Oryzias latipes: one gene and its partner. Each later gene encodes a partner of the first gene's protein in a complex. Links are inferred from orthologs where the notes say so. Each region holds a gene or a part of one and is shown on either strand. Other genes may lie near its edges. The genes, in order: cpsf3 and cpsf4.

The links.
Region 2: cpsf3 (region 1) and cpsf4 share a complex: the UniProt entries of both Homo sapiens proteins name them as parts of the cleavage and polyadenylation specificity factor (CPSF) complex. The link is inferred for Oryzias latipes from reciprocal best matches to the Homo sapiens genes CPSF3 and CPSF4.

The regions. Positions count from the first base shown.
Region 1 is NC_019882.2:22,746,532-22,763,052, forward strand, and holds cpsf3 (cleavage and polyadenylation specificity factor subunit 3), read right to left. Parts: upstream 9,990-16,521; 5' UTR 9,933-9,989; coding exon 9,862-9,932; intron 7,841-9,861; coding exon 7,777-7,840; intron 7,702-7,776; coding exon 7,604-7,701; intron 7,528-7,603; coding exon 7,399-7,527; intron 7,012-7,398; coding exon 6,834-7,011; intron 6,760-6,833; coding exon 6,670-6,759; intron 5,946-6,669; coding exon 5,795-5,945; intron 5,709-5,794; coding exon 5,533-5,708; intron 4,823-5,532; coding exon 4,664-4,822; intron 4,304-4,663; coding exon 4,157-4,303; intron 3,134-4,156; coding exon 2,981-3,133; intron 2,914-2,980; coding exon 2,805-2,913; intron 2,475-2,804; coding exon 2,376-2,474; intron 2,276-2,375; coding exon 2,181-2,275; intron 2,022-2,180; coding exon 1,934-2,021; intron 1,857-1,933; coding exon 1,790-1,856; intron 1,598-1,789; coding exon 1,501-1,597; intron 1,241-1,500; coding exon 1,151-1,240; 3' UTR 1,058-1,150; downstream 1-1,057. UniProt on the Homo sapiens protein: Component of the cleavage and polyadenylation specificity factor (CPSF) complex that plays a key role in pre-mRNA 3'-end formation, recognizing the AAUAAA signal sequence and interacting with poly(A) polymerase and other factors to bring about cleavage and poly(A) addition.
Region 2 is NC_019866.2:19,278,377-19,295,123, forward strand, and holds cpsf4 (cleavage and polyadenylation specificity factor subunit 4), read right to left. Parts: upstream 7,759-16,747; 5' UTR 7,444-7,758; coding exon 7,341-7,443; intron 7,184-7,340; coding exon 7,133-7,183; intron 6,137-7,132; coding exon 5,984-6,136; intron 5,897-5,983; coding exon 5,801-5,896; intron 4,983-5,800; coding exon 4,889-4,982; intron 4,793-4,888; coding exon 4,720-4,792; intron 4,619-4,719; coding exon 4,460-4,618; intron 2,342-4,459; coding exon 2,273-2,341; 3' UTR 1,953-2,272; downstream 1-1,952. Other genes in the region: atp5mf (ATP synthase subunit f, mitochondrial), read left to right, coding at 1,505-1,621, 1,699-1,727; shmt1 (serine hydroxymethyltransferase, cytosolic), read right to left, coding at 9,180-9,352, 9,441-9,551, 9,655-9,771, 9,839-9,961, 10,051-10,164, 10,238-10,450, 10,527-10,608, 10,772-10,932 and 3 more. UniProt on the Homo sapiens protein: Component of the cleavage and polyadenylation specificity factor (CPSF) complex that play a key role in pre-mRNA 3'-end formation, recognizing the AAUAAA signal sequence and interacting with poly(A) polymerase and other factors to bring about cleavage and poly(A) addition.

The DNA of each region.
Region 1 (16,521 bases):
CTCTCCTCCTCTCATCCTGTCTGAACGGCCAAAACTCAATAAAGTTCAGCTTCAGTTACAAAAGCGGTTTATTTGAACACACTCAAAGAGTAACAGACAACCCTGATTGGGAAAGCAAAACGTCCATCACAAGAGGAGCTCAGTTGCAGTCTGTGTGTTCACTTGCTGGACAGGAAAAAAAACACAAAAAAATAACACAAATTCTATGTTTACATCTATTCATTCATTCATCTTCTTCCGTTTGTCCCTTTCAGGGTCATGGGGCTGCTGGAGCCTATCCCTGCCACTTACAGATGAAGGCTGGGGACATCCTGGACAGGTCCCCAGTCTGTTGCAGGGCCACAATCACACACAGAAAGGTCCCCCATTGATGTTCTGTTTCAGGTCCCCAGCTGGGACTTGAACCTTCTTCCTGTGAGGCAAGACCGCTAACCACAGAGCTCATGGTGTTCATTACTTGTGTACAAATGTCTGAACAGATGAAGGCTTCTGGCCTTTAGGCTTCTGGAAATTGCACCCAAGGATGAACCAGACCTATGCAAATCCACAATTGTCTTCCTAATATTTTGACGGATTTCTTCGGACTGTCTGTTTTTCAAACAAGTAAGCGTGTTTCCAATGTGGCCTAATATGTATCCACAGGTATGTTTCTAATGAACTCAGATGCTGTCAATAAACGAATCAGAAGCCTCTAAAGAGATGACATCATCATGCGGGGTTTCCCTAATTGTTTATAGGCAGTGATCTTGTAAACTTTTGACTTTCATCAGTCTCATATTTCTGACATTTAGCAAATAGAAATAATTTTGTTAATTGTAATAGACCTAAAACAGGAAAAGTTTACTTTTATTTCATGTCTGACAGTGAAAAAAAAAGCATGTGTGTTTCTGTGTGGTGTATATAAGCTTCTGGTTTCAACTGTACACATTGACACATTCAAACTTAAAATACACAAACAGGCACACACTCACTAAACAAACATGAAAGACAAAACAAGCAGAGACACACACCCACAAACATACACACTTGCAAAAAACTGACAATCCCATAAACAAAGAAGTCATGAACATTATTTAATATCATTTAGTTTCACAGAATATTGGCACAAAAAAACAACTGTCTAAATGTTAGCCAGGAAGAGGGGGGCCAGTCAAAAGGCGGGGCTGAGAGCGTCGTAGAGCCGATGAACGGCAACTTCAATCATCTCCCTCAGAGGCTCGTCTTCTGCACACGTCACAACCTGCAGGCCAACAATCGGACGTCAGCCTGGTTCCATAAACACAACCTGCAGTTCAAACTTCTGAATAGTTTCCTGTGACAGCTGTGCTACGACGGGCTGTCAGGGATGGAACAGAGTCTACGACCTGAGGAGCCCGGTCCAGAGTCATGAGCCTCTGGGATGTGGCTCCTCATCTCTGTCACTCCTCAAATGTGTGACTCCAAACTCTAACCCTACCCTAACTCCTCTCATGTGCGACTCCTGTCATGTGCTGTACTTACTCGTGTGACTGGGTTGATGGTTGCCGTGGCGCCGTCCACCATCACACTGAAGCTTTCACTGTTGCTGAAGTTCACACAGTCCTCCCCGAACATGTCACTACAAAACAAGACAACACCTTCAGATTTTGGAAATCTTTCTCCACTATGAGGCCCATACGGCCCACTTGACTCCTCAATAGGAAGCGATGACAAGACGGCCCGTCTGAACCGGCCGTCCTGCCGCGGCACCTTGGGATCCGAGCCCAAGCACTCAGCTGTGGCACACCAAAAGTGTCATGTGTGCACTCACTGCAGCATGAGCTCCAGTCGCTCCACAAACACCTCCTCGTCAAACGTTTCCCTCCGGCCCTCCAGAACTAAGGCAAACAGATGCAGTTGAACCACAGGCTCCCTGAATGGAGCAAAATAAATCAGTGGCGCTGCATTTACTGACACTTCTGGGTGTTGGGATTTGACTGAACCTCCAGGACCACGGTGGCCACCACGTCAGCATACATGTCGTTGAGCGGGCTGGAGTTCCACTGAGGAGAAACATGACAGACGCTGGAATGAAGCTACAGTTCAACTCTGCAGACAACACATTCCTGTCAACGTTCAAGACGGTAGCAGCAATTTGTGTGAGCATGTTTGAACGCCTGTACACAACTGTGACGTGCTGTTGGGAGGGGTGTGTGTCTGACCTCCAGCTGCACCATGCCGGCTTCATGGACTAGACTAATGCTCTTAAAGATCTTCACTGTAATTTTTTCAGCTCCCTCCACCTGCTGCACGTCACCTGTAACACACAAAAATACTTTTCCATGAGAAAAACACCAACACACACACCAACACACAATGACTGACAGAGAGTCTGAAGCAGCTCAGGTGACTTTTACCTGCCAGGTTCCTCAATTGACTGACCAGGAGAGAGATGGGTCCTGTGAAGGGGATGGCCTGACTCTGAGTGACCGTGCCCACAGAGAGATCTGTATACTCTGCAGATGAATAGAGCAACACGTCCAAATGAAATCAGACCTGACCTCAACCAATCAGAGACCCTGATTGGGTCAGCAAAGGAAAGTGGCTGCTGCTGTTCCAAAAAAAACACCAAAACTGTATTAAAAAGAACATAAACTTCCTGCACAAAAGGTTAATGAAATCTTCTGACCGGCCACCACACGCATGTGGCCCCACCCACCACACGCATGTGGCCCCACCCACCACACGCATGTGGCCCCACCCACCACACGCATGTGACCCCACCCACCACACGCATGTGGCCCCACCCACACGGACACAAAAAGACAATCACACAGAGTACTGACTGCAAAGGTCGGACGGCATCAGGATGTGGTAGTTGAAGTTCCTTTTTACGAGGATCCCAGAAACCCTCTGACCTTGGGCACACTTTTGGTCAGCGAGTGAGCCCATCACCTGCAGGACAGACAGCATGCTGGGAATTAGACTTCAGCCAGACACATGGGTGCACGTGTGTACTTACCTTAGCCAGCTTCTCTCCTCTGAAGTTCAGAGTAACAGCCTCGGTATTCCTCGGGTTGTGGACCTCGATGTGGACCTCGTCGTTGTCCTCGTACTCACGGATCAGAGCCGCCTTCAGCCGGGCCATCTCATTCTGCTCTCCGTGCACCAGAATCTGAAGATCCAGAAACATTTGCTGATCGCTGGTTTTGCGCTCCAAGAGGACCACACTTCACACTGAGCTCCTCAGAATCTAGAGGTTCTCAGAACAAGCAGAGCTTCAGGTCAAAAGGCTGAAGCTGCGCTGATGCACAACTTCTTCAATCCAGACATTACCAGTATTACCAATATTTGGGTTTGTTGTGCTTCATGACAGGAAGTTATAATAATAATAATGGATTGGATTTTTCCAATTATGCATTCACTCCTCATTTACACTTGCTAACGGTAACCTTTGACCCACAGCTGCCCTGGGGCAGACTGACAGAGGGGGCAGGGAGGGTGAGGTGTCTTGCCCAAGGACGGTCTGACACTAGAACCAGCAAACAGCTACACCGCAAAACACATCTATCTATCTATATCTAAACAAGACAAGAATTCCTTTAAAGTTTCTGTTTTTTCCCCGATGTCATAAAACACATGCATGTATTAAAATATGTGCATCGTTTTGTATTATTGTGTGTTCATACAGACCAGTGTGTTGTAGTTGTGAGTCTTTAGTCGTTTTAAAGACTCACAATGACATAGAGCAACAAGTGAGAGTGTGTTTTTGTTGGCTGAGGTCAGTGTGAACAAATGCTAGAAATAACCAGCAGACCTGAAGTGCAGAAATTCCATGCAGCTCCTGAATGCACCTCCAGCCACAGTGTATGTGACTTAAATGTGTGCAATAAAGTCAGAATGAAATGTTTGGGATTGATGTTCAGGCAGACACTTCAGTCCTGGATGTGAGTTTGAGCCGTCTGTCAGAGATGCTAAAGAAGACCTCACATACCAAAGTGACTAGAATAATATAATCCTTCAAAAACAACATGCTAAAAGGTGACAGTGCAGGACATGTAGAACACAGATATACTAGTCCAGGCCTGGCATTTTGCACCAAAGTCACTTTATTCAACTTCAATGTGGCTGACTCGGCGTGCACGGCTGCTTTGATAGGATGGATCTGGGCTTGATCTGCAGGTGTGTGAGTGATTACCACATGGGGAGGCTTGAGTGCTCGGATGAACTCGCTTGTCTGCTGGTAGTCTGTGTGAGCAGAGAAGGAGATGTAGTCCACAGACATCTTCAGAGGGAGCTTCTGGCCCGACATGGTGGTGATCTCGTCAGGCTCCGTCATGATGTGCTGCAACAGCAGGATCAGAGCAGGGGCAGAAATGTGAAGCACGTTTCTCTGTGGAAATGTGAGCTGGACTCTGTTTTCACTTCAAGTCTCTGAACCTTCTGAGAGACGAAGGGCAAACAGACCAGCGATGCTTCCTCCACCAGCATCAGTTCTACTTTTGACAGGTTTTCTACAGTGTTTCAGTCAAATTGGACTGATCTTCACCCTAATGTGTTCCGTGTTGTCATGGCAACACACTGCCACCCACAGTCCTTCAGCTGCATGTCAGCAGGATTCCAGCTGGTTCAAAGCGCTGCAGAGATGGAGGGGGTTTCCCCCCAGTGACGGGGGCTTTGGCTAAGCAATTCTTGGCAGGTTCACCTTGGCCAGCGTTCCCTCAACGCAGTATCCAGCGATGATGACACCGTTTCTCTTGTCCGTGCACCAGCTCTCAAACAGCTCCCGGGACAGACCGCTCTGCATCATCCCGGGGGACGCCATGACCACGCTGGGGCCAATGTCATCAAAGTGATCCATGCTCTGAAAGCACAACAGCATTAATACAGGAGGCGGCTTCAACAGAAACTCTTATTTTAACGGTTTCATTTGTCATTAATTTTTGTTCTTTAACCACCTCTTTTACAAACATTGAAGCTGTTTCAAATGAAACTACATTTAAATAAGAGGGAACTGTGTCACTTTTCCCTTTCTGCTTAAATCATTACCACGATGTTGCCTCTGTTGAAATAAAAGTGTCTTTCCCTGGACTTTTTATGCCACATTTTATGTCAAAATCCTGGGAGAAACAGCAAGTTCTCCAGTGGTGTGAGATGAACCAGTCACATTAGGCTGAAGAACAGGAAAATGCAATAAAGTGTCAAAAGTTGAGTGCTAGAACACACATGAGCAGCAATGTCTCCACTCTCCAGCTGGAGTTAGCTCCTCCACTGTGTTCATGTCTCCTGGAAGAGGCCGATGCTTCCTGACGCCTGTGCTGTTCTCCTTCCATCACTTCAGTGTCACACATTCCACACTGTTGGGAGGAAGCTTCCTCCCAGGCTGAGCAACACCATGACAGAGCATGACAGTCTGGTGAGGGGTGGGGGGGTTGGGACAGCGCTTCACTTACAACTTTGTGATGCCATCAGTTCAGTAAGTGCACATTAAATGATGCTCTGAGTTTCATGAACATGTCAGAAATGTGGCTTTGGCGTGTGACTTTGTCTTTGCTGCTGCAGTTCTGTGCTCACCTTCAGGTTACTGATGTGTTTGAAGACAAAAGGGTTGTTGACGTTGATGGCTTTGCGGATCTTGTCGTTCATGGCGTTGATGTAGGTTTGATAGACAGCCATGCATTTCCGGGCCAGAGACGAAGCGTAGTAGATGGGAATGTCGTGGAGCTCTGGGTGGTTCTGCCAGTACTCGTCTGGACCACAGGCACAAACAGTTTCTGCGTCACCATCATCACAGGCTTCAGAACCAGAAGGTGATGATCTGTGCCTGTGCACTCACCCAGGATGAGCAGCAGCTCTTGAGCCCGTCCCAGAGCAAACACGGGGATCAGACAGCGACCCTCCCTGTTTACAATGTCGTGCACCGTGTTGCAGAAACGGGCCTCTCTCTCCTCACGCTTCTCATGGATGTGTGTTCCATAGGTGGATTCCTGACAGAAAGGATCAGATATTTGTTCAACACCATTCTGAGACGGGACAGAGGACCCAATACTACCAGACCAACAGACTATGGAGACGAAAAGCTCTTAGTTTAGAATTCATTAAAACTCGGTATATTCATTTAATGAGTAAAACAAAATTCTCAATAACTCCTACGGTGTTTTTGCATTAATAACATGAGCACTTTCCATCTAGAGTCTGGTGTCTTTTGGCTGCGTGTTTGGACAGCTCACAGGTCTAACCGCCCTCAGAAGCAACGTTTTTGTGACATTTGAGACGCCGTGCGCTGTCTGCATGTACTTTAGAAAAATCCAGCCGCACTTTGGACCCTTTGCTCGCGTCGCTCTGCCATCACTGTGCGTTTGTCGTTACACACTTGTTAGCAGTGGAATACATGAGGGACAAAGTATGAGCAGCCCCCCCCCGTCGTACTGGAGCAGGAAAGGAAAAGCAGCCACATTCAAACAAAGTAGTGCACGCTGTGTGGGCGCTGCTGCCCCACTTGGCCGGTACCGTTGATCCCATTATGGCTGAAACCTATCAGTCCAGTAACTGATGACGTGGCACTGGTACCAAACGATACCGTTTCAGTACTGCATCCCTACTGATGTCTGAACATGAGACAGCATGAGACATGAGCCTGCGCCTGAGCTGGTCACTAAGGGGAGGAAAAATATCTGATCATCGGGGGGGGGGGTTTAAAGCCAAACTCACTGTGATGAGAATGTCTGGTTTCACACTTGGGATCTCCGCCGCCATCAAGTGTCTGTCCTCTTGGCGGGAGAAGTCTCCTGTGTACAACAACTGCAGGGACACAGACAAGCACTGAGCACCAGAGACAAACCGCTTTAGGAAGACGGATCCAGACACAAACCTACCTTGACTCCTGCGATCTCGATCATGAACATAGCGGCTCCAAGCACATGGCCAGCATGATAGCACCAGAACTTGATGCCAGCCACCTCCTTTACCTCGTGGAAGTTAATGGTCTCAATCTTTTCCATGCTGTCTTCCAGGTCCGTCTCCGTGTAGAGCATCTCATCAGCAGAAATGTTACTGCAGACACACAGACGGGTCAGAACAAAAAACCCAAGCTGTGCCCCAACTCCAGAATATCAGCCACAGGTCCTACGGCATCACTAGAGAACCTGAAGTAGCTGCATTAACCCTTGTGCTACTTTAGATGACCCCCCCCCCTTCCAATGACGTGTTCTCCCTACCATGACAAAGGTGGATAAAGGTGGAAAGATTTCATGTAATCCATGGACACCAATGAAGATCACAAATCATTGAAGAAAACAGGTTCAGAGCACTGTCTAGTGGGTCTAGATGACCCAACTCCCAATGTTAAAGTGCCTAGGATAGCACAAGGGTTACTAAGACGTCTAACCTACAGGATCTGCTGCATCAGACCTAAGACTTTCACTCCAACACGAGTTGTACCTGACTTTGATGTAGTCTGACAGCAGCCAACGATAGATGGCTTTGGTGGCATGCGTCATGAACGTCCGCCCTTTAAAACTGGTCTTCTGCAGAAACCAAGGCAGGGCTCCGCAGTGGTCCAGGTGGAAACTGTACAACAAGAATGGATGGTTAGTGGAAAGCTGCATGTGCACCTTTGCACACGTTCACGGCAGCTCTCACTTACTGACTGATGAGCAGCAGGTCGATCTCAGCCGGATCGATCAGGTCAATGTACGGCAGGGCGTCCATCCCCTCCAGACCAGGATGGATCCCACAGTCTAGCTGGAGTACCAACACACAGACAGCTGTTGACAATGTTAACAGCTGCTGTGACAAAGAAAACCAAAAGAATCTCACCATGATCTTCCTCCCTTTGAACTCCAATATGATGCAGGACCGTCCCACCTCTTGTCCAGCCCCCCTGGTCACAATCACATCAAACAGTCACACAGTAAAGAGCTGTGCTTACTCATGAAAGTACCCAAACACAGTGCTTAGACCAGGGGGGTCCAACTCCAGGCCTCAAAGCCCAACCAGAAATCCTGCCTTGTCTGGAGCTCATGACCTGGTGGGTTTATCCAATAAGGAGCTTCAACGGCAGGTTGGTTGGGTCCTCAGTCATGATATAAATACAGGGTTGTGTCAGGAAGGACACCTGCCAAACCACCTGTGTGAATCAGTGGAAGCTGATTGGCTGTGGCGACCCTGAAGGGATATGCCGAAAGGTGAATAACAAGGACAGGTTGGTTGGAAAAGATGGTGGACATCGGCCCTCGAAGTCTGGATCCTCACACCCCTGACATAGACTTTTAACTCAATGACAAAGAATGGGGGCACTTGTGGATCAACGTGATCAAAACCTCTGTGGACCGGTCCTCAACTACTTGCCCAAGTTTTTCTACCTCCTTTACATTTTTGTCACTGTAATTAGTCATTTCTCCTGTTGGGATGTGCAACGCTGCAGCTTCACCTCATACAAGACCAATGGAGAGAACTTAGTCTGGACTGGAGAGGTTTGATACTTCTCACCCTCCTTGTGACATGGGGGAAACTCAAGCCGCAAGGACTCCAACCATGTGGGGATAACTGGCCAACTGTTGAGCAACAATCCAAAGGTGTCAGGCACCAATGAGTCTCCCAAACAGGTCAGAGTCAGCTGTCAGGTTGAATTAATTCAATTCAGCTATAAGTTAATGGGATTTTTTTATTTACAATAACGCTGGTTGTAAATTGTAAACAGCAAATTGTGTGTGTGACTGGGTGAATGGGTCTGTGACTGTAAAGCGCTTTGTCCTTGTAGGAAGAAAGGCGCTATACAAGTATACGCCATTTACCATTTAAATTAAATGAATTTTCATTTAATTTAAAAAAAAACTAATGGAAAAAAAATCTAACTCTGCTAATTTGTCCTTGGAAAGCCGGGAGCAAAAGAAACAAAATTCCCATTTTGGGTTTTTCAGAAACCATAAGGTGGTGTGGAAACTACTTTGACTGAAATCACTACCAACTCAAAGTTTAATCATTCAAATGTTTAGGAGACTCAAGGCTCATCGATAGAAAATTAAAAAAAAGCAATTTGAAATGCAAAGGTTTTGTCTAAAAAAGATGCACCCGCATCACCAGGACATCACTCACTCACTCACACACCCCAACCCCCCCCCCCCCCCCCCCCACACACCCACACACACACACCCACACACCCCCCCCCCCCCACACAAACACACACACCCACACACACACACACACACACACACACACACACACACACGGCATTCTCCAAAACTCAGCAGGAAACTGAAGCTTCATTATTATGTTTTACTGTCGAAACCAAAGGAATCAGCTACCTGGAATCACACGTTGTTTGTTTGTTACAAGTTAATTAGGAAAAATGTTCCTGCATGTTATTTTGAAATATTTGATCGTCAACATCAAAGTTTGTTTCTCTCTGGTGACTTCCACCAGTGACTTAAATGTCCTACAGCACTTGAAAGCAACACTTCCATAAACTAATTTGAATGAACGTGAGCTTTGATTTCCTGCTGTCTTTCTGTATCTGCAACAAACGTCATCATAGTTTAATGTTTTCATTGTGAAAATTAAACTATTATTACATTTGAGGTGTTTTTGGTGTCTTCAAACATTGTTTCTCTTTCGGCAAAAGTTGCACAGTCTTCAGCATCATCATGTTCACATTCAGAGCTCACGCCTTTAAAGGTCCAGAAAAGTGGAAAAAAATGTATCTGCAGCGGGATGACAAGCCAACATTTTTTTTAACCTGGCAAATCCACAGAAATTATGAACGTATATTAGAAAGCATAATAAATCTCGCTCAGTTTAGACATGGAGCGGAAATGCCCATTTAGGTTTGACCGCCAGTGTCCGTTGTTATTCGGTGACGGCTCACTAGCTGCAGTGTTCGGTGGGTTCGGTTCGAACACTCACAGGGGTCGGATCAGCAGCTGGTCGCTCTCTTCAGCAGGAACCATCGCGTCCACCCTGCGTTTGGACGCCATGTTTGCTTCTTCAACGATGCCGCGCCTGCTGTTACTTCCGGTTCTTCCCGAAAACTCTCCGTGCGACACAACGCCTGTAAGTTCCGCCCCCACTATTTCTTTCTTTCTATTTTTTTCTTTACAAACCAAGTACAAAACCAAATAAAAAACAAAAACTAAAAAAATTCTTAAAAATAGGTAAATATAAGGCAAAAAAACAATTTAAAATAACAATAGTTTGGATATATTTCTGTACATTTATGTAGTTTCTTGTTTTGGTTTGAAATGCATTTAGGAAAGAAACTTAAAGTAATACAATATCTGAAAAATAAATAAAAAAGGACCCCCCCCCCCCCCATTTACATACCTAAATAGAGTGTCTACATCTACACAAAATAATAACAAGATTGATGACATCAGAAACGTTCAGGTTTTCCATAAAGAAGAGAACATTAAGTAATGAAAAAGAAGAAATATTACAATTTTTAAGTGACAATTGATTATGAATAATTTTATCTTTTTGCAACAGTGTTCTAATTTTTCAGTTTCAGAAAATACATGGTTTGGATTGAAATTTGAATCTTTTATGTAAAAAATCTCCAACAGGGTACATTTTTGATATTATTTAAAATCCGTTTCTTTCATTTTAGGTGAAAGTATTTTGTGTATAAAGAAAATGATTAGTCTATCAAGGTGGTTTCTGGGTCACGTCTATTGTGAGAGAAAAACCTTTTGTTTAAAGGTTAGAGTCACTAATTTATTTTTGCATTTTTATCTTTTATGGGGATATCATTAATGGTTAACTCTGCAAAGTGTGGTTTGATTGCATGGTAATATTTTATGAACAAGATTAAGTAAAGGTATGAGAATTACTTTAAAGACTTTTTTATAACAGCAACTAGAATCCTTAATTTTGTATTTGGTTACAAACCCATTGTAGGATAACAGCATTGCATCTGTACGCACCAAGTCATGAACAAAAAACACACCATCATCACACCACTAAGACATAAACAAGGATATCTTGTTTACAGTTACTGTATAATTCTGTTGTCCCATAAAACAGTATTGTGGGGGGAAAAGTTGTGGGAGTTGTTGGCATTTTCCCAAATTCTAATGCTTGCTTGTAAATGTTTGACTGTATAAATGTTTTTTTGACAGATCATATTCACACTTCTGCAAAAGGATAGTTCTCCGGTAGAGTTTGTTTGGGATATGATACCACATAGATTTCATACGATACCAATTTATTCTAAATGCTACACTTTGTAATTCAACATCTAAAGCTTTTGAGCCATTATTATCTATTATCTCTAACCAATTATGGTTTTAGTAAAAAGTACGTTTTATTTTTCCAAATAAATTTAAAGAGAATAGAATTAGACAACTTGATCGTTTTTGGGGATGCATAGATTGAGTGGCAGGGAAACACAAGTCTTGAAAAACCTTCTGCTTTAGATAATAGATTGTGGCCAAATATGGATAAGTCACGTCCCAACCACTGATTTAAAGTTTCTATATTGTTTTCAGTCTGGGGGTAATATTTACACTTTCTCTATCATTACTGTTTTCTGTCATTATTAGACCAAGATATTTCACTTCACAGGTTATTTTCAATATTACTTAGAGTGCAGGTATGAATAGGCAAGATTTCCCATCTTTTGAGATTTAGAATAAGGCCAGATGCTCTTGAAAAAAAAACATTTTATCAATAACAATATATACCACACACACACACACACACACACACACACACACACACACACACACACATATATATATATATATATATATATATATATATATATATATATATATATATATATATATTTTTTTAATAAAGCCGTGTCATCAGCAAATTGATTCATTTTAAAATTCTTACCTAAAATGTTAATAAACGCAAAATCTGGAGAATATTTCAGAAAGATGGCTATAGTATTCAGCTGAGCTTATAAACAACAACAGGCTAATAGGACATCCCTGGCAAACACCTCTATTTACAGGAAAGCTGTTTGAGAAACCTCGGTTAAGAATAATTCTGCTATTTATGTCTTTGTAGATCATTTTTTTTTATGTTTCAAAATTTTGATTCAAAGCCATAGGTTTCCAAGGAGCTAAACAAAAATGCGTGTTCTAATGAGTCAAAGGCCTTAAAAAGAATCCAGAAAGAGGATAAGACTATTATGGGGGATAATTTGGTTGTAACTTAAGATATCTAAGATTAAACAAGTCTGATGATGAATGTGTCGCCCCTTAATAAAGGCTGACTGTGTTTCATCTATGATCTGACCTATTCCTGATTTCACTCTGTTGGCATAGACATGTGCTCATATTTTATGACAACAGAGAAGTGTGATGTGTCTCCAATTTTCAGTTAATAACACACCGTTGTCTGGTTTTGCTAAAAGGGATGTAATGCCTCTTTTAATGTTTGTTAATTCCTTGAACGCCTCTAGCAAAAAATCTTTGATGTTATTCCAAAAGTGTTTATAAAACTCAGCTGTAATTCCTCAGGTCCTGGTGACTTCCCACTGGCCATTTGGGGAACAGCCGTATCAAGTTCAGGTGTGTTCAGATTCTGTGAGATCTCTGAATTTCTTATTTTAGATATTTCTGATCTATTTTAGATCCTCTCTGGTTCTGAATACATCTATTTTAGGGGTTTTATCCCGAATTAACTTTTCAAAGAAGATGTTGTGACTTGAAAAGTGAGAAGTACAAAAGTTTTTTAAAAAGTTAGTGATATAATCCTTAACCCTCAAGTGACCGGGTGGGGTCATTTATGACCCCAGCCATATAATTGAATGTGCCAGATCTTTATTTTTTATCCGAATTTTTTTTCCTACCATGAGTTTGTCAGTCTACTAATCCTACACAGTTTCATCGTTTTTTGCAGGGATCAGGCAATTTGTGTGACATCACAACTCTTGTGGGGTCATTTATGACCCCGAAGAGAAGCACTGGTTTTTAAACATTGGTTTTTCAAGTTTATTAAAATGTTCCACTTCTAATCAGTACTTTATATTGTGTTGCAGTGAACCATGGCCAACAGACCTAGGCTAGCAAGATTTACAGCTGCTGAAGCAATGGGACTAATACTTCAAGCCCAAAGTGATGATGAAAAGGGTTAAGGTTAGGGTTAGGGTTAGGGTTAGGGTTAGGGGTTAGGGTTAGGGTTAGGGCTAACCCTTCTCAGAGAGCTTGGGTATGAACTAGTGAAGCCACATGTATAGAAAAGGTCACAGTTTCCAAACCTCCATAAAGCAACTAGGGAAGGAATAGCAAGCATTGGTGTTGGTCCTGCTAACCCTGCAGAGCAGCCCGCAGTTGCTGCAATACCTGGCAAACGCAAGCGCTGTTCGTTTTGCCTACGCAACATTGACAGGAAAGTTTCACGTGCATATGCTTCATGCAACCAGCCAGTGTGCCCAGAACATAGCCACAAACAAGTGGTTTGTAGTACATCGCTGAACTTCGTTTCAATAGCTTTGAGGGAACTTGTTTTCATAACTGGGTATCTGCTTTTGAGAGTTACAATTTTCAGTTATTTTTTGATATCATATTACACATACACAAACAAGATGTTTGTGTGGTTTTTGTTTTAAAAACAGGCATGGTAGTAACATAGGTTGATTGAATGTGTTCTGAGTAGGTTGACCTCCTTACCAATTTTAGCATATTCCCTAGTCAGCAAGTCAGCTAATTATTTTTGTTGATGTTAGCAGTATGCTAGCTCAACATAAGTTAAAATATTTCTACTCAAACTCCTCTTTTTTATAATGTATGTTTTCATTTAGGTTGGCAAAAAAAAAATGTCCTTTTGCAAGTTGGAACAAGGACTGTCTAAATAAATGTTATGTTGTCCTTAAAGTCTGTGTTTTGGTTATTTCTTGCAATGTGTATTATTAACACATATTACATTAGATTATAAAAAAAAAAAAAACCTGTCTTAAACACGGGGAGTAGTTTCAGTATGATAAACCCCCCAATCAGCCATTCATAATAAGGATCCCTGTAGCACAATGGGTTCATAAACGACCCCACTCAGTCATTACAGTCAGTAAAATACCTTGGTCTCGAGGGTTAATAGTGTTTTGGTCTTCAACTAGAGAGTTTTTAATTTGTAACTTGGTGATAGATTTTTTTCCTTTCTCTACTTTCTTCCAAGTTCAAAAAAGAAAGTAGAATTTTTTCCCTCTTCCATCTTCAATCTATTTTGCCTTTGAGCGATTAAATGTGTCATGATAGACAATAACTAGAACAGACCCAATAGCTGAAACCCGGAAAGATCCCACACGAGGGCTTGGCAGAGAAAAGAGTTTTATTGTTCTTGGATGTAGACAAGGAGATCCGTGGAGACAAACACTGGAGGAGGTTGAGACGAGGAGAGGACCAGACGGTAAGTATTCCCCTTGGTTGTTGTGGGTTCTTTGTGGTGAGGCGAGTGAGGATGAAGTGGGCAGGTGGCGGAGCGAGGCGTAGAGAAGTGGCATGGCTGGAGGTCTTGACGTCAAGATGGTATAATCAGGAGCGTGAGATGAATCCAGGTCGGCACTTGGTGGGTGAGGTTTGTCCTGCAGACAGGAATGATAACTTCATTGTTTGGTTCGGCAAGAGCGAGGGAATCACTAGGAAACGAGGCACACACGAGACCAGGTACTTCACTAGTAGGCAACAAACTCACAATGAATACAGGAATCAGGGCATCCTAAACACTGGAGTTTGATGAGGGAAGTGCCGGCAGCTGGGTCTAATCTGAGGATGATGAGGAAGAGAAGGGGGGAGAGTACTTCCGGAGGTACCATGACAAAATGCTCCTTTTGCTTTTTCTGTATAGTTTGTCTCATTAAGATAGTAATTTGTTAATTTCAATGACAATCTCATGACTTAGTTGAGTTAAATTACACAATGTGTTTTAATATGGAAATTATTTTAGTCTGATCTCGTCTGTTTTTCCTAGCCAATAATTGTCCTTCAATAATAGCAGTTGTTCTCTCATCTGCTAATAGGAGACAAGCATTGTATTGCTTTTATATTAAAAATAAGTGATTTGATTTTTTATTTTTACAAAAGTTTGTGTTATGTAAAAGGTTGTCATTGAGTTTACAGTGTTCAGGCTTTTTCCTGGGGTCCCTGCTATTCATTATTTACTTTCTTCCCCTTAGTTATTTCTCCCGTAAACACAACATTCACTTTCACTGCTATGCAGATGATACCCAGCTCTACCTCTCCTCTGAGCCTGACTCCACTCTTCCACCTGCCTCGGTCTCCAAAGGCCTCCTTGAAATAAAATCCTCGTTCACTGCAAACCTTAAATAAACTCCCTAAATTCTCCATTTCCTTTTATGACTGCTCCATCCTTCCCTCCCCACAGGTTAAGAGTCTGGGTGTCATCCTCGACAGCACTCTCTCCTTTACTGCCCACAACAATAACATCATCCGGGCCGCTTATTTCCACCTCCAAAACATCGGCCGTCTCCGCCCCTCTCTCAGTCCTCACTCCACAGCCATTCTAGTCCACAGTCTCATCACTTCCCGTCTGGACCACTGCAACTCCCTTTTATCTGGACTCCCTCACAAAACTATTCACAAACTACAACTGCTCCAAAACTCTGCAGCCCAGATCAGAACACAAACCCCCTCCACTATGCACATCACACCCGTCCCACAGAAGCTCCACTGGCTACCACTACCTCCTCAGATTAACTACAGAATCTTTATTCTGACCTTCAAAGCCCTCCATAATCTCGCCCCTCCATATCTGTCTGACCTTATCCATGTTGCCATTCCCACCCGCTCCCTTAGGTCTGCCTCCTCGCTCCAGCTTGTTACACCCACCACTCGGCTCATCTCCATGGGGGGCAGAACATGCAGCTGCTCTGCCCCCCAGCTCTGGAACTCTCTTCTCTCAGATTTATGGATCATGGACTCACTCCCTCAGTTTGCTATAACTCTCAAAACCCACCTCTTCAGACTAGCATATCCACTCTTATAAATTTATGATTCTATTTTTTTGTTTTTTAACTCATGTTTCATTCTTGTAACTGAATTTTATAATTGCTTTGCATCTGTAAGGCGACCTTGGGTGTCATAATCAACATAACTCAGCAGACAAATTGAGAAAACAAAGTTAAACATCAACAGCAACTAAACAGAGATTAAACTATTTCACAGAATGATGTTGGTTTAAAGTCACACTCAGGTAATCTTTTTATCTGTTGTAAAAGCGTTCCCTGTAGTCTTTTAATTATGATTATGCAGTTTAAGGCCAAAAATCAAGAAACTCAGTGGGGCAAAAAAGTATTTAATCTGCAAGTTTTCCCACCTAAACAGATGAGAGAGGCCTGTAATTTCCATTATAGGTAAACCTCAACTGTGAGACAAAATGAGAAAAAAAAAAAACAATCCAGAAAATCACATAAACCAAGACAATCTAAAATGTACATTTTTAAGGCACATAAATGTTTAATTGCAATATTTATAGATGACTTTTGCTTAAGTGTGAGATTCAATTGAAAAAGTTTAACATATTTGAGCATCCAGTCACTTTTCTGTTTATTCACATTGATGTCATGTGCAAATAAAACTAAAGGAAAAATGTGTCAAAGTC
Region 2 (16,747 bases), on another chromosome or scaffold:
CTATCCCGAATGGTGTTAATTCTCTCCTTTTCTTTTAAAGATGGGACCATTTTTCTTCAAAGGTTTAGGTGCAAACCTGTATTTTTTTATCCAATAGTCATGACTGTAGAACATAAAAATCTGCTTCCTAATCTGGAGTTTTAACTCCTATCAAATCCTGGTATTTGCATCAGCAGATGAAAAAATGAAAAGTTGCTGTGAAGTGTTAAAAGTAGGGCTGCCAAATTATGACATTAATCGCCATTAATTACAAATTGGCACAATATTCTGAGTGGATGCAGGGTGTGGATTAAAAAGTGATGTACCACAGAAATAACAGACACCTTGAAAAGATGTTGGTCATGTGGCCCAAATGTTCTATAGCACTGCCCCTTCGCAAAAAGCCTGTTGGTGTTTCAATTATTAACATGTTTAAAACGCATTTAAAAAAACATAGGTTGTTGGAACTTATTCCTCAGTTTATTCCAACAGAAAAACAGTAGAAAAGACAAGTGATTTTATAGTTTACTTTAACCTGTTTGGTTTTTGGTCATTTTAAAGACTGGGATGCAGCAGAAGAGAGAGAAAATAATCTGAGGAAGAGACATGAGGGGGAATTGAACAATTTAGACTTTGTTTCTTTGAAACAAACTTTAGCTTCATCATCTGGACAAAAACATGCAGTAACTTTCCCTCTGAACTGATGCTTTATTTCACAGTAGCAATCTCACTTCGCTTTGGATGGTCAGGCTTCTGCATCGTCCATTGTTTTCTGATAATGCATACCTCGTCGAGCATCGTTCCTTATGTAAGGCCCATGTGTCAAACTCAGGCCCGGCCCACCCGGGGTGTAATTATAGTTGGCCTGTGAGATCATAACAAATGTATATCATATACTGTACCACTAATACTACAAATCCCACAATGCTTTGCTTGTATGTTAGCGCGCAGTCGAAACCAGCAAGCGCTCCTCTTTCCTGTGGACTCTTTGAAACGCGGTGTCCCGCGTTGTCATGGTAATGGCTACAGAACACAAAATCTAAATAGTTCCATTTCTTCGTGTCTCATCTCCTTTTTCAGATTCTCTTCTCTCTTCTGCTGCTTTGCAGTCAAAGTGATCAAATTCACTAAACAGGTTCAAGGAAACTAAAATGTCTTTTTTTGCTTTTGTTGTAAACTGTGGATCACCGTAGGCTTTGTCTACATATGGGTTCTGCTATTAGAAGTTTCTGGTCAATATTGTTTGGATTGCTCTCTAAAGTGTTCCTACGGTTTTTTGATGTTAAATTACAGAACTCTAGACCAGATCTTTTTCCCCAATAGCTTTAGATTAGAAAAGAAAAAACTATAAGTGGTCTAAAAGTAAAGGTTGGAAGTTTGTCACGATAAAAAAAACTTCAAACCCACTTTTGTTGTATTTTGATCTTTGAAAAAAAAAATAACCCCTACAACTTTAAATCATCAAATCAGAGACACTTAGCTCTAGACTCTTAATCCTTAAAGCAGTTTTTCCTTTTGCTTTCAGGCCACGACAGATACTACAACAAGTACATCAATGTGAAGAAGGGCGGCATTGGCGGCGTGGCCATGCTGCTGGTCGGATACGTGGCCATCAGCTACTTGTGGGAATACGACCACATAAGTGAGATTCTTACCATCTGAACTACGTTTTTCCTGGTTTGGTTTGCCAGATTTGCTGAACATCTTGTTTTTTGGTAGAACACGATCGCTGGAGGAAGTACCACTGAGTCCCAGCAGCCATCGGGGTGAACCGTCACATCCTGGCACCTCCTGCTTCTATGCTCAGCTCTGTTGTATTAATGTGACCAATTAAAGACAATACCAGTTTCATGTTCCAGTGAGTTTGTTTAGTAATAGATCTGAATATCAGTGGTTCTGACAGGAACGTCTTCCAGTCTGTGTGTGACAATGGCTGAAAAGACAAGTTTCAAGTGTTCAATCACACACACTGATTGTGTTGACATCCCCACTATGGGTCATCACTCAGATTTATTAGGAAATTACAGACAGTAGCACTTCAGTGAAGCACTGACGAGAATCCTACCAGAAAAAAAATCGCAATGGCACCTTTAAAGAGGCTGGGAACTGGAACTATCGTTTTAAAGCGCACATCTTTGAGTCCAGACTTCGAACTGAAACCTTTTCTATCGTCCACATCCTGCAAAAATCAGGTTTCGTCTGTGTGAATTCCCACAGGAGAAAGTTTGAAGTCTGTTCACCGTGAGGACGAGGGCGTCCTTCCATCTCCTGAGGCAGCACACTGCAGCCCAAATTACTGTCCACTCAGGAAGGCAAGGTGGCCTTTGGTACATTTGTTGGCGTAGTGGCCCTTCTCACCGCACTGCAGACAGGATAACAGTTTGTAGTTATTTCAGAATGTTTAACCATTAAAGATCAGAGAAGGAAATACATGATTCATAAAGACAATGTAGCACAAAATGCAAATTTAAACTTGAAAGTTCAGGTTTTATCCCTTGTGCTATCCTAGGCACTTAGACATTGGGAGTTGGGTCATCTAGACCCACTAGACAGTGCTCTGAACCCTTTTTCTTCATTTTATTGTGATCTTCACTGGTGTCCATGGATTACATTAAAATCTTCACCTTTATCCATCTTTGTCATGGTAGGGAGAACACGTTAATGTAAGTGTGGGGTCATCTAAGATAGCACAAGTGTTAAACACTTGATCATCACACTGATCATCTTTTGATCTATAATAAAAGCATTCCCAGTGGTCTTTTCATTATGATTATGCCATTTTTAGACAAAAACAAAACTGTTTTCCGAGACATAATTTCTGCAGTGCAGCAGAAGTTCATTAGAATTTCTCCTCTGAGTTGGGGGTGGGACCACTGCTGCAGAGTGAGCCCACCCCCACTTCCTGTCACCCATCTATTTACACTCTCTCCTGCAAGCTTACAGCCCCTCACACCCCAACATAACATTAGTGCTGCAACAAAAATGGCGAGCAATATTGGAGCTATCCAGCTGTACAGTTTTGAGCCAGATGCCAGCTCAGACAAAAAGATGTTCATGAATCCATTTGTCTGACAGTGGATGCATCAGAATGGAGCTTGTGGCCCGCCCATTGTATTTTCTCAGAAAACTGTTCTCCATCCTGAAAAAAACCTCAGAAATGCAATTTTGTCTTCCATAATCATTTTTTAAAACACCAAAAACATTGTTTTCATCGATGTGGGTCTTTAAACCAGCATGATATGGCCTCAACTATTACTTGATCTTTTACATTCTGGGAGGAGCTGTGAACCTCAAGTTTCATAAATTGTGCATTAGGGCTTTACTTAAAAAAAAATGAATTTTATTTTTAATATGCATTGTCAGTTAATCAAATCCATTACCAATTTTTTTTTGGCAATTTCTATTGTAGCTTAAAAAAAACAAAAAAAAATCAATGTAATTTTTATTCAGAAAGTTGCACCTTTGTTTAGTTTAAATAATCAGTTAAAAGGAAACCGTTTTCATTTATCGAAAAATCTGCTCCAAAATTACTTTAATTTAACATCTGTGACAGCAGATTTTATAGCTGAAAATACATGTTTTTTGGATTTGAAAAAACAATTCCAATGAGCTTTGTTTTCCCTATGGGGGCGTAAGGAAAGGCTTCATTAACCCAGCTCTGTTACTGTGACCCCAAAAGTTACAACACTATTTCGACTTATTTTCCTTGCGCAGTATTGTTATGAAAGCACTTTTTGAGTTAATGCCAAAATGGGTTTTCAAAAAGCTGCCGTCCACCTGCCATTTATGAATTAAATAAAATTTCTGATATATTGGAAATGTTTTTGTATACTAGAGTTTGCATTATAGTTGGTGATGGCACAAATGTCCAGGAGAACATTTCCTGTCATAAACCAGGGTTGCTCACACTTTGCGCGGGGAAAGTAGTGACTATCTGATGACAGAATTTGCGCGCAGTGTATTTAAACACACACGTGCAGTGACGTATGTGTCTGAGGATATTTGATTGGCCGTTCTCCATGTCAATCAAGTGCCGTACTTCTCGTGAGGATTTTGATTTGCTGATGGATTTTTTTAATTCACTTTTTTATTTTTCGGTATTTGTCTTTGCTGGCCTGCTATCTAACCTCATGTCTTTGAAGATCGACCGGTCGATCGCATTCGACGTCATGAGCACCCCTGTCAAACGTTGCTAACAGCTTGTAATGTTAGAAATGACCAGAAGAGGGCACTGGTAGGTGGAGCATCAGGGTACTGATGTGGAGAGAGACTCCAAAGAAGAGTTGGTGATGCACTGGGACTGTATGTCGGAGAGAAACTGAAGAATAAAACCGAACAGATTGAACCCACAGAGAGTCCTGAATTCTATTTTTTGTCTGTAAGATAAACACAGACATTACAGCCCTGATTTATGTTAAACTGCTAATGTTCCTCACTGCAGAACAATGACAGAACAAGAGCAGAGCCTCAGGCGACTCACCTTGTAACAGGTGACCTGGTCGAGAGGTCGGGGTCCTCTGTTGGCATTCATGTTGTTTTGATGAGAAATGATGTTTGTGTTGTTCTGCTGGCGTTGGCCTGGACTTGAGTTGGTCAGCTGGATGAGAGAAAGAGACGAGCGTCCGCTGGAAGCTGCAGTCTGTGGCAGAGAATGAACAGAGAGCTGTAAAAAAAATCCCATTGAAGCCCAGAAATACTTGAAGCACTTGCAGGTACTGAATCTTGGATCCATTTTCGCACCTTTCCCTGGTTTTGTATTTGCTGTGGTAGAGGGGGCTGTTCAGATGTTCCCATAGGCAACTCAAACCGCGGGCTGCAGAGGAACATTTATCATCACATGATGTCGCTCACATTCAGAACTTTACCCAAACCAATTACACCATTATTGAAAGCAGAAATGTTTACTTACTGCATAAATTTACAGGATTTGCCTTCTGGACAGAAGCCCACCAGATAATTCACACAGATCACTCTTCTGGTGTGTCTGTGTCTGCAGTCAGGACCTAGTGGGGAAGGAGAACAAAATGAAGATTACTTATATCAGTGGTTCCCAACTTTTTTCAGGCCCCGGTCTGATTGAACAGTCAATATTTTCACACAGCAGTCTGTATGAGACTGAAAGGGACGACCAACTTTTTTTTATCTTTGCCTTCAGTTTCCCTTTAACTTTTGAGGGTCAAGTTTATCTTCATCGTCTGTAAAATATTTGTATTTCTATGGATATAGTTCACCCTGAAAGGCTTAAGAAAAGCAGGATACAGGCCCGTTAATCCATAACTGTCAAAGTGGAAGCTACAAAAATCGAATTCCAACTTCAGCCTCGTCTGACTTTTAAGGACAGATAAATATGAAAAATAATTGTGTCTAAAAATTGTATTTTCTAAACATACTAATAAACCATTTCAGCAACGTTATTTGCAAACATCCTCGTAACATTACACAGCAGGTTGCTGAATATGATGCCCCATTGTTATGGCGTGTGGGAACAACTGTCACAATGAATCCACATTTGCAGTAAAGACTCCTGGTTTTTGTCTGTTCAAATGCAGATTTCTTGTATTTTGAAGATAAAGGCTCTTCTTCTGTTTCCTCACTTAATATGCTCTATGAACAAAAAAAACTTTCCAGGAACATTTGCGTTTTTGTCAGCACGTCACTGAGCAATTTGTTATGTGTCAAGAATGAGTCAGATGTGGTGGGGAGAATTCAGAAATTTTTCAAAATAAAGCCTCTTTCCGAATCAAATAAAAAATAAAAACGGTAAAAATGTGGGTTACAACGAATCCAGAGCACGAAAACCTGACACTGGGCTGGACCTTACCGTGTTTGCAGAAGCCTCTGTCGTACCAAGGACAGTCTTTGATCTTAGACTCTGGATCGATGTGCAGGAAGGGACATTCCTTGTTGCTGCACTCACCTGAGAGCCAACACACAGTTTGAATCTATCAGACCTGCGTGCTAAGCAATGGAAAGCGTTTTAAACGAGGAAGTCAAGTGAACCCACCAAACTTTGAGTAGAAATAGCATTCAGGCATCTTGGTCATGTCGTATTCGTGCAGAAACTCGCACTGGTCTCCCTTCTTACAGAGCCCTCTGAGCCAGTGCTTACACACCACCGTCTTCTCCCCGCTGATGTGACGGAACGGACACATTCCACCTGAGAGACACAGACACAGCTTTGTGGATTCATACGACACATGCAGGGATCGTTTTCCTCACTTTTATATGAAAGCGTGACCCACCAAAACCTCACACAAATATAGACATACGATTAAAAATAAAGTCTCTGCAGAACTGCCTTCTTTGTAACCCCAGAAATGTAAAACAGGTTTTAGGGTGCACATAAACAGGACAAAATAAAAAGTAAGAAGGCCAGACAATAATGATTACATAAATGATTACATCCAGACCTTTTAGCCGTATTTTGCTCATGTCTGCCTTAGTGTGACACTGAGTACATACAGAAAATCACAATAAAACACAAGAAGTTAATGAAATATAGAGCTGTAAAAGGTAAACTGAACATCACGACAGTGAAAGCCACGAACGGGCAAATGTCCCAACTAAATTCTGTAAAAATCTTAATCAGTGTAAGTCATCTATTAAAAAAAAATGAAATCAGGATTTTACAAACAGCAGTAGTTTGTAACTAAAGCTCTGGCTCATTATTTAAGAAAAAGGAAATAAGGTTATTAAAGAGTTATTTCATAAAGTTTAAAAATTATTTTAAACATTTTTTACAAGTTAGCGTTTGTCAATAGAATGCAAATAAGGTTTTAAAGAATAATTATTTCAAAGCAAACTTTTGCAAAGAAAACAAAAAAGTTTAAATTTACTTAGTTTACCAAACATATCCAGAAAGAAATAATAATAATCACCATTAACCATTTTAAATGAAAGAAAAATATTTAAAAATAGTTGTATCCACCTCTTTAGTTTATCAAAGAACTTTTTTTCAGCGGTTTATTATTTCTGTAATAAAAAAGTTATAGTAAACTGGTTCCCGCCTACAACGTACTAAAATGACAAACGATACCAACAACATGTAAACATTGCAGTTTCCTTCCAAATAAAACGTTTCTGAACATTTAAAACTGTTAAATGCAGATAATAATAGCAGCGCAACAGATGCTTCTGACTGTAGATGCTTTACCTTTCATACACGTTCCCTTCATGAAGAACTCGCACACAGCTGAGCCGGACTCTGCAAAAAGACAACATTATAACTGAACTGACAATTATAACGTGTTGTTTCTATTAAAAATAACAGAAACCAAAGAGGGCGAACCTGAGAAAAACTATGGTTATTCTCAACAAAAAAAGATGCTAGCATTAGCATAAGCTAGCATCCATGCACTTACTGTCCATGCCGGGAAACGGCAAAGGCTGCGCTCCCAGCTGCTGCTCCACAGCGATCTCCAGGTCGAACTTGATGTGATCCACGTTTGCTAGTAGCTCCTGCATGTTTGCCTTGAGTTGGTAGCTTTCAAAGCAAAGACTTGTTCGGTTAACTTAAGCTAAGATAGCTTAATGTCGAAACTGTTAGCCGGCGATTCCCTCATTAGCCAGCTAAAGTGGCTAACGGGGCGAGCCAGGCGAAACAACAAGAGCAGAGGATAACAATGAGATAAGGTAAGGATCACCGAAGTCCTTATATCAACTATTTCCAAACAAACAGGTGAACATGACTTAATATTTTTGTCTCCGAATCGACAGAGGTTCTGTTTGAGGACGCGCGCACATTGACCTCTGACCTGACGAATTCAGACGGATCTAAACGATTGTCGAGCAAGTCGAGTGATGTCACCGTTGAGTTAACCAAACCTGTTCATTTCTGACACTTTGCCTCTGGCAAATGACCAAAAACGAATGAAAATTTCATTTATTTTACTATTTTATTGTTTAGACATATTGGACACGTATGTGCATCTGATCATTTTTCTTAACTTGCACCTCGTGTATGCATTTCCATGTCCAATTATTTATAAAAATAAACAAAAAACAGGTTAAAGTTCAATTCAGAGATTAGCATGTCACACACCAGATCATGAATACAAAATGCTTTTGATGCTTCATCACTGCAAACCCCTCTCCTAAACAAAAAATCACTCATTCAAAGTCTGGTATGATCAACCAAATGATTTGATCCATTGACTGCATAAGAGACTCTAATACAACGTTGTGATCTGCTGGTTTTAGGGTGAAACACGACGCTTCAGAAATGAGTAATTGTTCAGCATTTTATAATCATTGGAAGCATGATGATATGACATGTTTAAGCAAGAATAAGCTTTCTAAGCTTTTATTGTGTTTTTCTACAGTGGAAAAAGAAAAAAAAAACAGTATTCAATACTTTAATACTTCAATACATAGATGCTGAAAAGGCTTTTGACAAAATAGATTGGACATTTTGCAAGTTCGATTATTAGTTCGAATTTGGAAAAACATGTAATTGTTGGTTTAGATGCCTGTACAAGAACTCTAAATCAAAGTAAAAATGATTGGACATTACAGTTTTTTAAATAATAGAAAATAAAATAAAGGGGAGTCAGACCTTACCCTCTACCCTTTTTTGTATCAAACCTCTAAGAGAGATGATACATCAAGAAATTCATACAGGAGTTTATTTATAAATGATCCCTTTATGCCAATGATATTTTGCTATTTGTTAAAAGCCCGTTGCTTCAAGACTTACGTCATGTTGACAGGAATATAGACGTTTCAGGCTATAAAATAAACCAAAAGAAAGCAGAAGTAATGATGTTATCAGGAATATGGCAAAATAACCTAAAACTTTAGATATCAATAAAAATAAGAAGATTTTATTGTATTAGTCTTTAAAAGGACAAAGAAAAAACAGTATTCATTGGCGGTTTCATGAAATCTTTTTATTACAGTGAATGAGTTACACATACTCATGGAATGTTTTTGGACTTAATTTACTAAAAATCGAAATTCCAGTCATGAATTTCCAGTCAGTTTTGATCGTAACATCTAAAAGATGTGAATCCCAAGTAAAACATCAGGACTCTGTAACATTACTAAATCATGACACAATGACATTTGCAGGACTGAGCTTAAATGTGTCTTTAATAAAAACAATTCTATTGAATTATCAAGTGAGGAATGCTTTAAGGTCAGAATACACCCATTGACTGGTGTGTTTAAACAATAAACGTTAGTCCAACTCTCGTCTGGCCTCACAGTTCCGGCAGGCCGGGCATGGGGAACTGACCGGCAAAAGCCTCCACCTCGGCTCTCAGCGCAGCTACTCGCTCCTGAAACTTCTCTCCCTGAGCCAGAGCCTGGACAAACTCCTTCAGAGTGGCTTTGGGATCCTGGCTCCTCTGCACATCCAGGGTCAATTCAACAGCTACAGGAAAAAACATTGGCGAAAGTCACGTTTTGCCTGAGAAACATCACTTTATGTTTTTAGGAGCATTTTTAGATGGATGGTGCACCTTTGTGGATGAACAAAGCCACCTTCTTGAAGTCTTCCTCCACCAAGCCCCTGGAGGTCAGAGCTGGAGAGCCAAACCTGAGTCCACTGGGACGGAGAGCGCTCTTGTCTCCTGCAAAAATACAACAAAAAAAAAAAAGATATTTGAAAGGTTCCTTCCCTCTTAAGCTTACAAACTGATCAACTCATTTGCACCCCAGCTTATGTCTGAATACCTGGACAGGTGTTCTTATTGCAGGCAATAGCACAGGCCTCCAGCACCTTCTCAGCTCGTCCACCATCAGTACCTTTGTTGCGCAGGTCCAGGAGGATTAGATGGTTGTCAGAACCGCCTTTATAGAAACACAGAACATCAGAAAACATCCCATGGAAGAAAATCCATATAATTACAGATCTTACCAGTAACAATCTTGTAGCCGTGGCCCACGAGGGCATTGGACAGAGCTTTACAGTTAGCAAGAACCTGCTGCTGGTAGACCTTGAACTCGGGAGTCATGGCCTGTTTGAGAGCCACAGCAACGCCTGTAAACCAGAGAACGGGGGAAGCAGATGCTGACATGGCTCAAGAGCTTTTAGGATGAAAAACAGAGAAGAAATGAACGACAGGACACCTGCAATAGCGTGGTTGTGCGGTCCACCCTGCAGCCCCGGGAACACCGCCTGGTTTATCAACGACTCCAAGTTGTACAGAGTCTCTTTTCCTTTGGCATCAACACTCCTTACTCCTGGTTAAAAGTCCATTTGTTACCAAAAAAATCCTATGAAAGTTTTTCTTTTGAAATGTTATTTTTTTTTTACCTTTTCTGTAGAAAATGACTCCAGCACGGCAGCCGCGCAGCGTCTTGTGGGTCGTCGTGGAAACAATGTCACAATGCTCGAAGGGTGACGGCACAACCCCAGCAGCTACTAAGCCACTGATGTGAGCCATATCTCCCATCAGGTAGGCGCCGTTCTCATTAGCAATCTGCTTTAAGCGGGCGTAGTCGAGGTTGCGGGAATAGCAGCTGGTTCCTACGGGCAGATGGAGACAGTTTAGGAACATTTTAAAGCAAACTTGCAGCCTGTGCATGTGTGTGCGTTTAATAACCTGCAATAATGAGCTTAGGGTGAAACAGTCGTGCGTTGTCTTGAAGTCTGTCATAGTCGATGTAGCCGGTTTCTTGATTCACCTTGAAAGGGAAAAAAACATCAGCTGTGTGGTAACGTCCGTGTAGTTTAGATGGTTCACTCTGAAGGTGCTTCTGTTAGTTGTCACTTTTTATTCATACACTTGTGTCTTTGAGAAACATCCAGAATTCGAGCTAACAACATATATGCATACTCATTTTGTACCTTATACGGCATGGACTCAAAGAAGATGGACGTCGCAGAGATCTTCTTCTTATCGGTCATGAAGCCGTGTGTCAGGTGACCTCCGTCAGGAAGGTCCAGCCCCATGATCCTGCCATGAGGTTCCACAACAGCCGTGTACACAGCAAAGTTGGCTGGAGAACCTTCCAGAAGAAACACAGTACCGGTAAATGAAATCCATATTTTACAGAAGAGCTGCCTCCAGAAGGTTTACATGGAGGAGCCATAAAGAGCCCAAAGAGAAAATCAGAATCTGTCAAAATGTTTAGAAGATATCGTTTATTTTCAAATACACTAGACGTTTGGTAAATGATACCAGCAAGAATTTTCAATCCCTTTAGGAGCAACTCAAGACACTGCCCCCTACAGGTGGAGATGGGAATTGTGGTTTCTGGTTGAGTCTGCACAATAAATTGGTGAAAAAGCATAAATATTTGAGTCATTACTTTTTGGTTTCCTGCCAATGAAACAACTTGTTTATTACATTTTTGCTATATAATTTAACTTTATTTTTCAAATTATTCATCAAAAGAGGCGAATTTCAACTGGAGGGGCCACTAAGGTGGTCAGCAGTGTTCAGAGGTTTTCAATCACGTCGCTTAAAATCAGTCACTGCAAGAGTTTGATACCTGAGTATGGCTGCACGTTCACTCCCCATTTCTCTGGGTCCAGACTAAAGGCCTCCAGTGCTCTCTTCTGACAAAGCCTCTCCAGCTCATCAATATGCTCTGTGCCACCATAATACCTAAATAAACACACATCCAGAATTATAGGTAAACTAAGGTAAACTTCAGTGTTCTAGTAATGACTCAATCCTGACCTTTGGCCAGGATAACCTTCAGAGTACTTGTTGTTCATGCAAGAACCCAGAGCTTCAAGAACAGCCCTGCTGGCAAAGTTCTCAGATGCGATCAGCTCCAAGCCGTACGTCTGCCTCTTCTTTTCTTTCTTTATGATAGAAAACACCTGAATATAAACAGAAACACTGCCATCACAACAAGCCCGACCTGAAAAACCTAAAGAAATGTTCACAGTGCTGCACGTTGGTGAGGAGAGACACAAACCTCAGAGTCGTTGACAGCCAGAGGCTCCAACATCATCTTGTTGTGAGAGTCCCAGATTTCTTTATTAATGCTGTGGCCATTCGTCAAAGCCATGTTTGTCTCTTTACTGGTTGGAAGCAGATAAAATCTAAAATAATAAACAGAAGTTGAGGCAAATCATTCAACCAGAAAATCCACTTAAAACTTTATCAAAAAAGGAATTAAGTGTCAAAGCCACATGGATATCAATTCAAACACAATCATAGACACGACGCTGAAGTTGGCTTCCGATTCACAGCTTCCGATTCGCGAAGGCACAAAAGAAACATTCCGCTGCATTTTTCGCATTAAGATCACCCAAAACCGGGTCCTGTTCAAAAACCGCTGGACCTGGACTGCTCAAACCTGGATTAAATTATACATTAGATACTAAAGAACACATTAAATATAGTTTCTGATTTGTGAAACCTTCCTCTGATTTGTGAAAATCTGAAATAGATTGATGTTTATCGCATTTTACGCACTGAGTCCACCTTAGACCAGGTCCTGTTCAAAAACCGCAGGACCTGGACTGCTCAAACCTGGATTAAATAATAATTTAGATACTAAAGAACACATTAAATATAGTTTCTGATTTGTGAAACCTTCCTCTGATTTGTGAAAATGTGAAATAGATTGATTTTTACAGCATTTTACGCCCAGAGTCCACCTTAGACTAGGTCCTGTTCGAAAACCGCTGGATCTGGACTGCTCAAACCTGGATTAAATAATAATTTAGATAGTAAAGAACACGTTAAACCCAGTTTCTGATTTGTGAAACCTTCCTCTGATTTGTGAAAATGTGAAATAGGTTGATTTTTATCCCATTTTACGCACTGAGTCCACCTTAGACCAGGTCCTGTTCAAAAACCGCAGGACCTGGACTGCTCAAATCTGGATTAAATAATAATTTAGATAGTAAAGAACACGTTAAACCCAGTTTCTGATTTGTGAAACCTTCCTCTGATTTGTGAAAATGTGAAATAGGTTGATTTTTATCCCATTTTACACACTTAGTCCACTTCAGACCAGGTCCTGTTCCCAAACCGCAGGACCTGGACTGCTCAAACCTGGATTAAATTATGCATTAGATACTAAAGAATACATTAAATATAGTTTTTGATTTGTGAAACCTTCCTCTGATTTGTGAAAATGTGAAATAGATTGATTTTTACAGCATTTTACGCCCAGAGTCCACCTTAGACTAGGTCCTGTTCGAAAACCGCTGGACCTGGACTGCTCAAACCTGGATTAAATTATAATTAAAATAGTAAAGAACACAATAAACACAGTTTCTGATTTGTGAAACCTTCCTCTGATTTGTGAAAATGTCAAATAGGTTGATTTTTATCCCATTTTACGCACTGAGTCCACTTCAGACCGGGTCCTGTTCCAAAACCTCAGGACCTGGACTGCTCAAACCAGGATTAAATTATAATTAAAATAGTAAAGAACACAATAAACACAGTTTCTGATTCGTGAAACCTTCCTCTGATTTGTGAAAATGTGAAATAGGTTGATTTTTATAGCATTTTACGCACTGAGTCTCAAAATCTCAACATACAAAAGAAACTGGGAAACAGATGTCAGATTGGACAAATAGTTATGGTCATGGTTAGCATGTACCACTGACTTAAGTTTTGTTTTTCTGTTCAATATTTCTTGGTTTGTTTTCTGATTTACTTTAAAGTCCCTGTTATGGTGTTTTCCTTAAAGTTGTCCTTCCCTTGTCCCCATTATCCTTAAATTGCATAAAATTCGATGAAATGATACTTTTTCCCACAGTGGTGTTTGAACAGGACCCGGTCTGAAGTGGACTTAGTGCGTAAAATGTGATTAAAAATCAACTTATTTCACATTTTCACAAATCAGAGGAAGGTTTCACAAATCAGAAACAGCATTTATTGTGTTCTTTAGTATCTAAATTATTATTTAATCCAGGTTTGAGCAGTCCAGGTCCTGCGGTTTTGAACAGGACCTGGTCTAAGGTGGACTCAGTGCGTAAAATGCGATAAACATCAATCTATTTTAGATTTTCACAAATCAGAGGAAGGTTTCACAAATCAGAAACTGGGTTTATTGTGTTCTTTACTATCTTAATTATAATTTAATCCAGGTTTGAGCAGTCCAGGTCCTGCGGTTTTTGAACAGGACCTAGTCTGAGGTGGACTCTGGGCGTAAAATGCTGTAAAAATCAATCTATTTCACATTTTCACAAATCAGAGGAAGGTTTCACAAATCAGAAACTGGGTTTAACGTGTTCTTTACTATCTAAATTATTATTTAATCCAGATTTGAGCAGTCCAGGTCCTGCGGTTTTTGAACAGGACCTGGTCTGAATTGGACTCAGTGCGTAAAATGCGATAAAAATCAACCTATTTCACATTTTCACAAATCAGAGGAAGGTTTCACAAATCAGAAACTGGGTTTAACGTGTTCTTTACTATCTAAATTATTATTTAATCCAGATTTGAGCAGTTCAGATCCTGCGGTTTCTGAACAGGACCTGGTCTAAGGTGGACTCAGTGCGTAAAATGCGATAAAAATCAACCTATTTGAGATTTTCACAAATCAGAGGAAGGTTTCACAAATCTGAAACTGTGTTTAATGTGTTCTTTAGTATCTAATGTATAATTTAATCCAGGTTTGAGCAGTCCAGGTCCAGCGGCTTTTGAACAGGACCCGGTTTTAGGGTGGTCTTAGTGCGAAAACTGCAGCGGAATGTTTCTTTTGTGCCCTCGCGAATCGGAAGCTGTGAATCGGAAGCCAACTTCAGCGTCGTATCATAGACTGACGAGCCATCCTCCCAAACTACTGATACATTTCAGACAAAAGCTTCAAATTCTCTGCTGCCTGACACAAAATGTGGCAAAGATATGGTCTCAACGAGTACCCTTTATACCACGACGGTCCTGTCAAAACCATGTAAACAACACATTCCTTTAAAAATCTATGAAGTCTCTCAAGTTAGGAGTCTGCACATGACTGCGATCAGCTGCCACAGCGAGCTCGTGCGTTTCATTTGCAATCATCATCCGCTCAACAGACGCGTACATCTGAGCTAGAAAAGCGACTAAAAGTTTAAAGAGAAGCCTGCAACGATAAATAATCACAGTAAATCGCAATAAAACTAAAAACTAGCTTAGTTTTGACAGCTGCAACCATTTTATGCCAAATACCAGGCGGATTGACGCTAAATCAGTATGAAGATAAAATATCTTCCTTTTGGACGACAACTAATTTTACCAGCTTTGAGGTAAAAGTGAACTCACTAAACACCCGTTAGACTCCCGCCGCCGTCTGACGCGACACAAAAAAATGTTATCTAACCGTGAACAAAGTCCGCGAAACTTTCTACCAACCCGCTCTCGACTTTTTTCTTCCTGAGTTAGATTGACGTTTTGAGGCGCAATACCGCCATCGTGCGGTCGGAGTCAAAACTACGTTTTTTTTCTTTCTTTCAAACATGAAGATACTTTTTTGCAAACACCAAACAAAATATGTTCTTTAAAATTATAGTTGACAAAAGAAAAATTACTTTATAAGGAGTAGCTTTTTTTGTTTGAAAATGCATTGAGTTATTGTTAAATTAAGTTTAGATTGCAAAACTAAGTTTTGTTGACAAAACATTAACATGGTTTTCCTTAAAATTTTAATTCAATTCAATCTTATTTATATAGCCCAAAATCACAACAACAGTCGTCTCAGTGGGCTTCGTACAGGTAATAGTAAAGTACACATAAAATCAAAAAGGATCATGAATACATAGAATCCAATTGGAAAATTCTAAACTGAACTAACTAAAAAGACTGAACTAAACTCGACATCCCTGCCCTTAGACCCTCCTTCGGGAGATTAGGAAAAACTCCAAAAAAACAGATTCCGGAAATAAAGAAGAAACCTCAGGGGTGTCGACATGAAGGAGTGATCCTCCCCCAGGACGGACAGGCGATGTACCAGAACTCTTGGAGAAGAAATAGCTTCTCTAACTCTACAACTTCATATTTAAATAGTCCATCATATGGGCTTCATCCAGATGGAGATGTTGGACAGCTGAGGGCGCGAGACCAGCCAGAGTCAGGATCCACACCCAAGAGTAGGAGCAGGAGGAGCAGAGACGAGCCAGGGACCAGGGACTTGGTCCGGTATGGGAGCACGGATGAGCCAACTGGAATCTGGAAGAGGGACTGTACAAGAATCGCACTGTACCAAACAGGGTCACGGAGAACTAAATGATAAATGATCAAGAACAGAGGAGAGAAGGAGAGTAGAAGTAGATGAGAATAGAGGACAGAACCCCAGTGCATCATAGTTTCCCCAGCTTCAAACTCCTAGCAGCCTAACAACAACTAATTGTTATTAAGTTTAATTGATTAATTAATTAATTATTAATTTTTGTATATTAACTGTTATTAAGTTGAATTCAAACATGTTAATAGTAAGTTAAATAATCTCTGAATACTAGCTGGTCGGACAATAAGCCTGTCCAAAGAGGAATGTTTTCAGTCTAACTTTGAATGTAGAAACTGTGTTGGACTGTCTTACATGAGCTGAGAGTTTATTCCATAAAACAGGAGCTTGGTGGCTAAACGCTCTACCTCCAACTGTACTTTCACTAATTCTAGGAACCACAAGCAGTCCTGCAGTTTGTGAGCGAAGTGTTCTGTTCTGTTTTAGGTAAATTCATTGTATTTCTGGGTGAACAGCAATGCCCTGCACAGTCATTGTTGAGCTAAGCTGAAGCCCACAAATGCTCAAAACATCTCTGATTTTAACAAAAATGTTGTCCTTTCCTAATTTAATTAAAACCGATTTGAAAGTATACTTAAATATCAAACATGTTTTATTTCAAATCAAAACAACAATTGCATAAACT